2 linked regions of the Oryzias latipes genome follow. Each later gene encodes a partner of the first gene's protein in a complex. Links are inferred from orthologs where the notes say so. Each region holds a gene or a part of one and is shown on either strand. Other genes may lie near its edges. The genes, in order: cytoplasmic FMR1-interacting protein 2 and brk1.

What was found.
Region 2: cytoplasmic FMR1-interacting protein 2 (region 1) and brk1 share a complex: the UniProt entries of both Homo sapiens proteins name them as parts of the WAVE1 complex. The link is inferred for Oryzias latipes from reciprocal best matches to the Homo sapiens genes CYFIP2 and BRK1.

What each region holds. Positions count from the first base shown.
Region 1 is NC_019868.2:21,207,982-21,211,801, forward strand, and holds part of cytoplasmic FMR1-interacting protein 2, read left to right. Parts: intron 1-252; coding exon 253-406; intron 407-1,103; coding exon 1,104-1,260; intron 1,261-1,340; coding exon 1,341-1,437; intron 1,438-1,516; coding exon 1,517-1,593; intron 1,594-1,672; coding exon 1,673-1,781; intron 1,782-1,860; coding exon 1,861-1,980; intron 1,981-2,056; coding exon 2,057-2,256; intron 2,257-2,328; coding exon 2,329-2,416; intron 2,417-2,556; coding exon 2,557-2,700; intron 2,701-2,826; coding exon 2,827-2,917; intron 2,918-3,820. UniProt on the Homo sapiens protein: Involved in T-cell adhesion and p53/TP53-dependent induction of apoptosis. Does not bind RNA. As component of the WAVE1 complex, required for BDNF-NTRK2 endocytic trafficking and signaling from early endosomes.
Region 2 is NC_019863.2:7,144,173-7,148,368, forward strand, and holds brk1 (protein BRICK1), read left to right. Parts: upstream 1-1,655; 5' UTR 1,656-2,160; coding exon 2,161-2,278; intron 2,279-2,613; coding exon 2,614-2,696; intron 2,697-2,772; coding exon 2,773-2,799; 3' UTR 2,800-3,575; downstream 3,576-4,196. UniProt on the Homo sapiens protein: Involved in regulation of actin and microtubule organization. Part of a WAVE complex that activates the Arp2/3 complex. As component of the WAVE1 complex, required for BDNF-NTRK2 endocytic trafficking and signaling from early endosomes.

The sequences.
Region 1 (3,820 bases):
GCACGGAGCGGGCCACAAGATCCCTGCTCTCACCAACAGGGAGGGGGAAGATTAATTTCTAATGAACTACTGCCACTCCATAGGAACAATGTCCACAGGTTTTTAAAAAAATTGGCGAAAAACAACATAATAATTAAAAGACCACTGGGATACTAGATCAAAATAAAACACAAGTGGGACTTTAAGCATTTTTTGTTTCTTAATTTGTGAAAAATAAAAAGCATTTTGATGTTTGGTTGTCTTCCTGTGCAGTTGTACATGGTCCGCACCATGCTGGAGTCCCTGATAGCAGACAAAAGTGGATCGAAGAAGACTCTCCGCAGCAGTTTGGATGGACCCATAGTGCAGGCCATCGAAGATTTCCATAAGCAGTCCTTCTTCTTCACACATTTACTGAACTTTAGTGGTAAGCTAAATGTAATTCAAGTCATTTATTCAGGAGATGGAATATATTTTTTGATTGAAATCGAAAATTTTAGTTGGAATATCAAACTATAAGTGCATGCTGTTTGTTTTAATGATCCTATTTAAGCATGAAGGTTTTAACAGCTATCTGTACCTCTAATGATTTCCTTATATAGTCCACTTTGTCAGGTACAGCTCATCTAAACTCTAGTGCAGACAATAGGTGAACCTTGCTCTGTTTGAGAGGAAGGTTCTGGTTTTCATGTTTTTTATGGTTGACCAAAGCGCAGAAGTGAACCAAAAGGAGAAATGACATAAGAGTTATGTATTAAAAGTAGCAACAAAATCAGCAAAACTCAGAAGGAATCACATAAAGTTGAAAAGCATTGCAGTGTAAACTTGTAGTGAGGAAATACTAGCGCTAATTATCTGAGAGTGGTTGTGGCAATAGTTGTTTTTCTTCGTCTTCCCTGCTTTGGTCTGCTTATGCTGCCCCCAAGTGAGCAGCACTTGAAACTGCAGGTTTTCTTCAGGCAGTTAAATCTGCTTCAGCAGCTTCTGAGAGCTGTATGTGCTTTAGCAACCCAAACCAGACGAATGTACGACAGTTATTTGAATTTTCTGCTCATTTATACAAAGTCCACAGGACTATCCTTGTGCATGTAAGCAATACTTTTAATTGTGTTTGTCTTGTCCAGAGGCCCTGCAGCAGTGCTGCGACCTGTCCCAGCTCTGGTTCAGGGAGTTCTTCCTGGAGCTGACCATGGGCCGCAGAATCCAGTTCCCCATTGAAATGTCCATGCCATGGATCCTTACTGACCACATCCTGGAGACAAAGGAGCCTTCCATGATGGAGTAAGACTAATTAAGGGGAGATTTGTGTTTTGTACCCTAACAAGTGGGCAGTACTGCAACCATTACCCTTTCTCCTCCAGGTATGTGCTGTACCCCCTTGATTTGTACAACGACAGTGCCTACTATGCTCTTACAAAGTTTAAAAAGCAGTTCCTCTATGATGAAATTGAGGCTGAGGTAAGATCTGATGGACACCAATTCCATTTGGCTCATTTTAAGTTGAATTTGATATATATTTTGTGTGTTATTTGAACAGGTAAACCTGTGCTTTGACCAGTTTGTCTACAAGTTGGCAGATCAGATCTTTGCCTATTATAAAGCAATGGCTGGCAGGTAAAAGGAGATTTTTTTTTTGAACAGAATACAGAAATTTGAGGGCTTCGTTTGAAGAAATTGTGATTTTTTTCCACAGTGTTCTGCTAGACAAGCGTTTCAGGGCAGAGTGTAAAAACTACGGGGTCATCATCCCGTACCCTCCATCAAACCGCTACGAGACGCTGCTCAAACAGAGACACGTACAGGTATCTGCACATCGTCTTTTTGATTATTTTGCTGTCTCATTTGCAAACTATGTCATTGTCGTATTTGACTCGTCTGCAGCTGCTGGGTCGCTCGATTGACCTGAACCGCCTGATCACCCAGAGAATCTCGGCAGCGATGTACAAATCCTTGGATCATGCTATTAGCCGTTTTGAGAGTGAAGACCTCACCTCCATAGTGGTGAGGGGACCATCAGGTGAAGCTTATTCCTGTTCGTTCTCCATATTTTGTTTAAACTCCTTGTATTTTTGGACAGGAGTTGGAGTGGCTCCTGGAGATCAACAGGCTAACCCACAGACTTCTGTGCAAACACTTGACGCTGGACAGCTTTGATGCCATGTTTCGTGAGGCCAACCACAATGTCTCTGCTCCCTACGGACGAATCACGCTCCACGTTTTCTGGGAACTCAACTTCGATTTTCTCCCAAATTACTGCTACAACGGATCAACGAACCGGTCAGCTAAATAAATGTAAAGAAAAACCATTGTTTTGTTTCAACTTTGAACCATCTCTCCTGTTCCTCTCAGCTTTGTGCGAACAGCTATTCCTTTCACCCAGGAGCCTCAAAGAGACAAGCCAGCCAATGTGCAGCCTTATTACTTGTATGGATCCAAGGTATATTGCCATTCTATGTTTGGTGTTCATATTTTTATCTATTTTTTGTTGCTTTTTACACTGTGTAACAAAAGAAAAACTGAAATAATGACTATGCTGCCTCCGATTATGATTCCGATGCTTCCTCTTTTTCTTCTCAGCCTCTGAACATCGCCTACTCCCACATATACAGCTCCTATAGAAACTTCGTCGGCCCGCCTCACTTCAAGACCATCTGCCGCCTGCTTGGTTACCAAGGCATCGCTGTCGTGATGGAGGAGCTGCTGAAAATTGTCAAGAGCCTGGTATTTATCTTCCAATTGCAGCCTCCAAAAAACATGTTGTCATGATCTTTCTGAATTGTAACCGCTATCATTATCTGCCTTTTTCTTTCCCTTTCGATGCTTTTGTCTATCTATTTTACCCTATAGTTGCAGGGCACCATACTGCAATATGTGAAAACTCTGATAGAAGTCATGCCCAAGATCTGCCGTCTACCGCGCCATGAGTATGGTTCCCCCGGTGAGCTCACCTCTGTCTTTTGTCCAACCACATTTACTGACAGGTTTTGAAATTTTAAACTTAAATGTGCACTTTTTATTTTTATTTTTTTTTAGCAAAAATGACTCAAATAAGGAAGTTCAGTGTAAATTCAATTAAAAGCATAGATTGTGACTGGTTGAGGTTTTTTACATACTACATTAAATTAAAAAACCATCAAGCTGAGATTCATAATGACTATTATTGTTATAATCCAGTATAAGATTATTCCAAGAAACCAGATCATTTAATTAAATTCTAATGGTCTATGTAATTGACCAGCAGATTACACTGAAAGCTTTTCATTGGAATCTTCATACTGAGTAAGCTAACAGCAACAGGGCATAAACTTCCATTTTTAAATGGAAGATTAGGAAGAATTCTTCAGCAGAACCAGACTTGATATGAGTAACAGGTTGGGCTCTAAAAGGGGGCTAAATGCTGTGACTGTCCGACACAAATGTGACGGCCCGCAAAAATCAACAATTAACTAAAAGCACCCCACAAACCAAAATAAAACAATATATATAACGTAAGGATGGACGGACAGACAGATGAAGATTAGACAGGCAGACGAGGCCGAATATAGGCATTGAAAAGAGGGGGGCAATGCCACCTAAATGCGTCGGTGCCCCCCTGAATGTGATGGCCCACGACGTCCACCACCAACTATAGAAATAAAAATTACAAAAAAAAAACAAAAAAAAAGACATCATGGAGTTACAGACAGATGGACAAATAGACGGACACGAAAAGAAAAAAAAATACATAAATGCACCCTTAACAGCTTGCTGGTGCCTATCCTAAGACCGATAAATAAGGAGGGTAGTGTCAGGAAGAGCATTCAACCTAAAACCTAGGACATTTCAGATAGATCAAAGGAGA
Region 2 (4,196 bases), on another chromosome or scaffold:
TGATTACCTTTGGGGCGGTTGTTCTCTCTCTGCTATATCGTGTGGGTGTTGGGGGATCCTGGCTACCACTGCTGGGGCGGCCGGGGTCTTGGTGTGGGGATGACTGGGTACTCTCCCTCCTTTTTACATTCCATCATCCACCTTAGGAGAACAGAAAAACTCACAAGCGCTATCTCACCTTTGCACAAATAGTTTGTGTGACTGAATGAAATGTTTCACATGTGTTAGACTGAATGTATAAGTATGCGTGTGTGAACGTTATATGTACATGTTGACATATTTCCATGTAAACATTTTGGGAGCCAACAGGTATGTTTGTAACATTTGAGTGTGTGCGTGGACAGGCCCCGCCCCTTTTAGATTTATTATGCATCTGAATCTGACAGTAATGATTATAAACTTCCAGCAATTTGTTGCTTTATGATTTTAACCCCCCCCCCCACAGTCACCCTCCTACCCCCACCCCACCTCCCTTAAACCCCTTTTTCTTCTTCCCTTCTTTTCCATACGCTCCAACTATATATTTAATATAAATATAATTAATAGATAAAGTTTTGTCTAAATTACAAAAGGGGTTTATTCAAATATACACCTTGTGTGTCAGAAGATTCATAACTTCACGTTGTAACATTAAAATATGTCCAACACAAGAGGCCTTCGGCTCTCATCTGTTTGCTCAGCTGTTGGACAGGACAAGTTAGAAAATAAATAAATTACGGACAACTTTTTGTTCACTTTGAGACTGTTAAACAGAAAAAGAGGGCTGCTGATGGGCTAGGCAAAAAAATCAATTTTTCGATAAATTCGAATTTGTTGCAATTTATCTTGGGGGAGACTGGGATTGTGTTTTTCCAGCACTGATTTCTTGGGCTTCTGTTGTTTGGAATAAGGTCAGCCCGTCCGTTTCTTACGGAGCCCCTTAAGGGCCATTGAAAAAAAAAAATAAAAGGAAAAAAAAAATTGAAGTAAAAAGAAAGAAAAACTAACGGGTGCGCACCAGTTACTAGGTAATTTGTGCACGGAGAAATGTTTCCAAGTTACCTGGAAATGGCATTATGTGAGCTAATTGAGTTTTACTTTGCTTTTTGACTTGTCTACAAAGAGATTCCAGCTTTGCTAGCTTACCGTCACAATTACATCATCTCTGAACGTCATCTTAAATGGGTTTTAAAGTCATGTGGTTTGTTTCAAAAAGCTTTTAAAAAACTAAAGCCATTTGTTATTTGTATTAATGGCTGTTAGTAACTGGTGAAAAAAAATTTAAGTAAAAAAAACAAAAAAACAAACTGCACCCAATACTAACGGGTGCAGTTAGTTTTTTTTTTTTTTTTTTTGCTTCATAATCTTTCTTTTGTTCAATGGCCCTTTAGGGGCTCCGTAGTTTCTTGCCATACGCAGTCATTAAAATGGCAGCTAGCAAAGAGGAGCTTGTTCCCAAAATAGGAAGACTTTTTTATTTTTCCCCAGTTCTATGGTGCTGGTTGAGTTTTGTGACTTTAGACTTGGAGCAAGAAAACTGTTGGAAGGCTGTTGCTAGCAAAAGTGGGAGTATGAAACAAAGCTGTGAAACAGCCGGTCCAGTGCCTGGTCACTGCTCAGCTGAAATGCAGGCTGGTTCTGATCCAGTTCAAACATTGTTTTTTCTTTCAGTCTGTGCTTTAAAAACAATCAAACATAATGTTATGGGTCCAACTGCTCATGATTAACAACACTTTGAAGAAAGAAATACACAGAAATACATTTTTAAGCTTAACTTTCTTGATATCTTTCCTCGATTATGAGAAAATGTTAAAGGAACATGTTAAAAACACCATTTTCATTGGAGTGGGACGGAATTGTTGCCATGGATTAGCAGCCTTACACGAAGAACAAATCAGAAATTGTATCTCCATGCAAAATCAAATCATTATACAGGATTTATTGACATTTTTGAATTTTTCATGGATGAAAGTAGTGATGAATTTGCTTAAAAACTATCTGGCTGCTGTAACGCATTTTTCGTTTAACATTTGTAATAAATAATATAAATAGAAAATGAGACTTCGGTAGAATTTAAACTCTTGTCTCTGGAAACAGTGAGATCATTGCGACCGGCGCCCTCTGCTTCCTGGATGATAGCTAGCTTCGGTGCTCGGTACTGCGGGCGGAGAATCATCCAACATGGCTGGCCAGGAAGACCCAGTTCAGAGGGAGATTCACCAAGACTGGGCGAATCGAGAGTATATAGAAGTCATAACGAGCAGCATCAAAAAAATCGCCGACTTTCTGAACTCTTTCGGTAAGGTTTCGACCACCATCTTCGGCGTGAAAGCGTAGAAAGATGGCGATAGCTTGTTAAGCTAGCCCATGTTGATGTTTTTAATGGACACTCCTAGTTAGCAGTTAGCTTGCAGGCTAGCGGTTTACGAATTGAAATTTGGGAAGAGCAAAATAAAAGTTTAAATTATATCTCCGTCCAGGGTAGCTGTATTACATAACAGAATGAAGACTAAATTCCATGGGACTGTTACACTGTAAACCCGAAAAAGCTTCAAATGCTACTTTATTGTTGTCGTCACTCGACTGTTCGTTAGCAGCACCTTTAAAGGTTTTACCACATTTGAACCCAAACAGACATGTCCTGTCGATCCCGCCTGGCCACCCTCAACGAGAAGCTGACAGCGTTGGAGAGAAGGATCGAGTACATAGAGGCCAGAGTAAGCAGAACAGCCCTTCCGTGTTTCCCATTCTCAATGCTAAGCAGCTGCTACATATTTCTGTTTGTGAATGCAGGTGACAAAAGGAGAGACCCTGACCTAGAGAGGACCATGGATGGGACTTCATGTTCTCCCTGAATCTGTGTACCCATCCATCCACCACCCAGAGCTTTTGGACTGAGCGTTCTGGACTCCACCTTCCCTTTTTTAGGGGGGATCATCATAAGGACCATTTTTATATCTTGTGATTGACCTTTGTTGTGTTGTCTTCATGGCAGAATTTTGAACATAAAATGAGTCCATCTTTGGGGTGTGGCTGACTTCATTGTTATTTTTTAGAACAAAGTGGGAATCATCAAGTTTTGGTTTCAAAATGATATTCAGAAATGGACCTGCTCTAAACTTTAAGCATGCAGTGTCATAAACAAATCAGAGATTTATATAGAAAAATAGGGGTCAATTCTCATGTGCCAAGTTGAACAAGTAATTAGTTAGAGACCATTGAGGATATTTGTACAGCAAATGTTTCTGAAAATAAAGGCATTGCATTGTTTGGCTCTATTATGTTTAACTGGACTACAAAAGTCCTACTGATGTAATTATTAGGAAATGTATAAAGTTTAGTTATAAGAAACAAAATAATATTGTGCATATGGTAAGTTAGAACACGTTCATTTTGTTCACATCAATCACAGCAAACTAAGGGATGTAGGGGTTGTGTATTTTGAATTTTACAGTTTGAAATTATAGGTTTTCCTAATGTCCTTTTTTGATTCAAACTTTATGAAATAAGATTTTTTTTCTTGTTTGTTTCATGTTGGAAACGTGTAACAAATCTGTAAACTACAACTCCCAATTAAATTAAAAAAATGGCGGAAATTTGTTTGTTTTGTTACCCTTAATTCTGACTTGCAGGCCACAGAAATGGGAAGCATATTTTCTTTAAAATACAGAGGAAAAGGGTGGATCTATACAGGTTGAGGGGCCGGAAATGGGAGGATATGGAGGATGTTGGAGTGATCGAGGACGGGGATGGAAATGGACAGTTAGTTCCATGAGTGTGATGGAGGTCTGAAGATCAGAAAACGTTTGGGAGCACAGAGCAGAAAAGGTGGCTGTTGTTGTGAAGCATGACGTCACAAAACTCTTTAAATTTGAAATGGACTGAAGAGCGGCAGTTGGGCCCGACCACATACCTGTGAGGGTATATGGAAGTGTTTAGGAGAGGTGGCCGTGTGGCAGCAAACTTTTTCCACTGAGCTGTTTAGTGAGGTCTTATGAGAGGACGCCTGGGGAATGGGCGAGTGCTCATTTTTTAAGAAGAAAGCGGTCATGTTAAGTTTTTGAGACTTTAGAAGAATAAACCAGATCAGTAATGAACATTTGTGGGGGAGCCAGTTTAGCTCGTGCTGGTTTGCGGCGCCTTCCGTCCGTGAAACCCGGGTTCGACTCCGGGCTGCTCCCTGTTCCCTTCTCTACCTCTGCCGGTTCCAAGCCCGG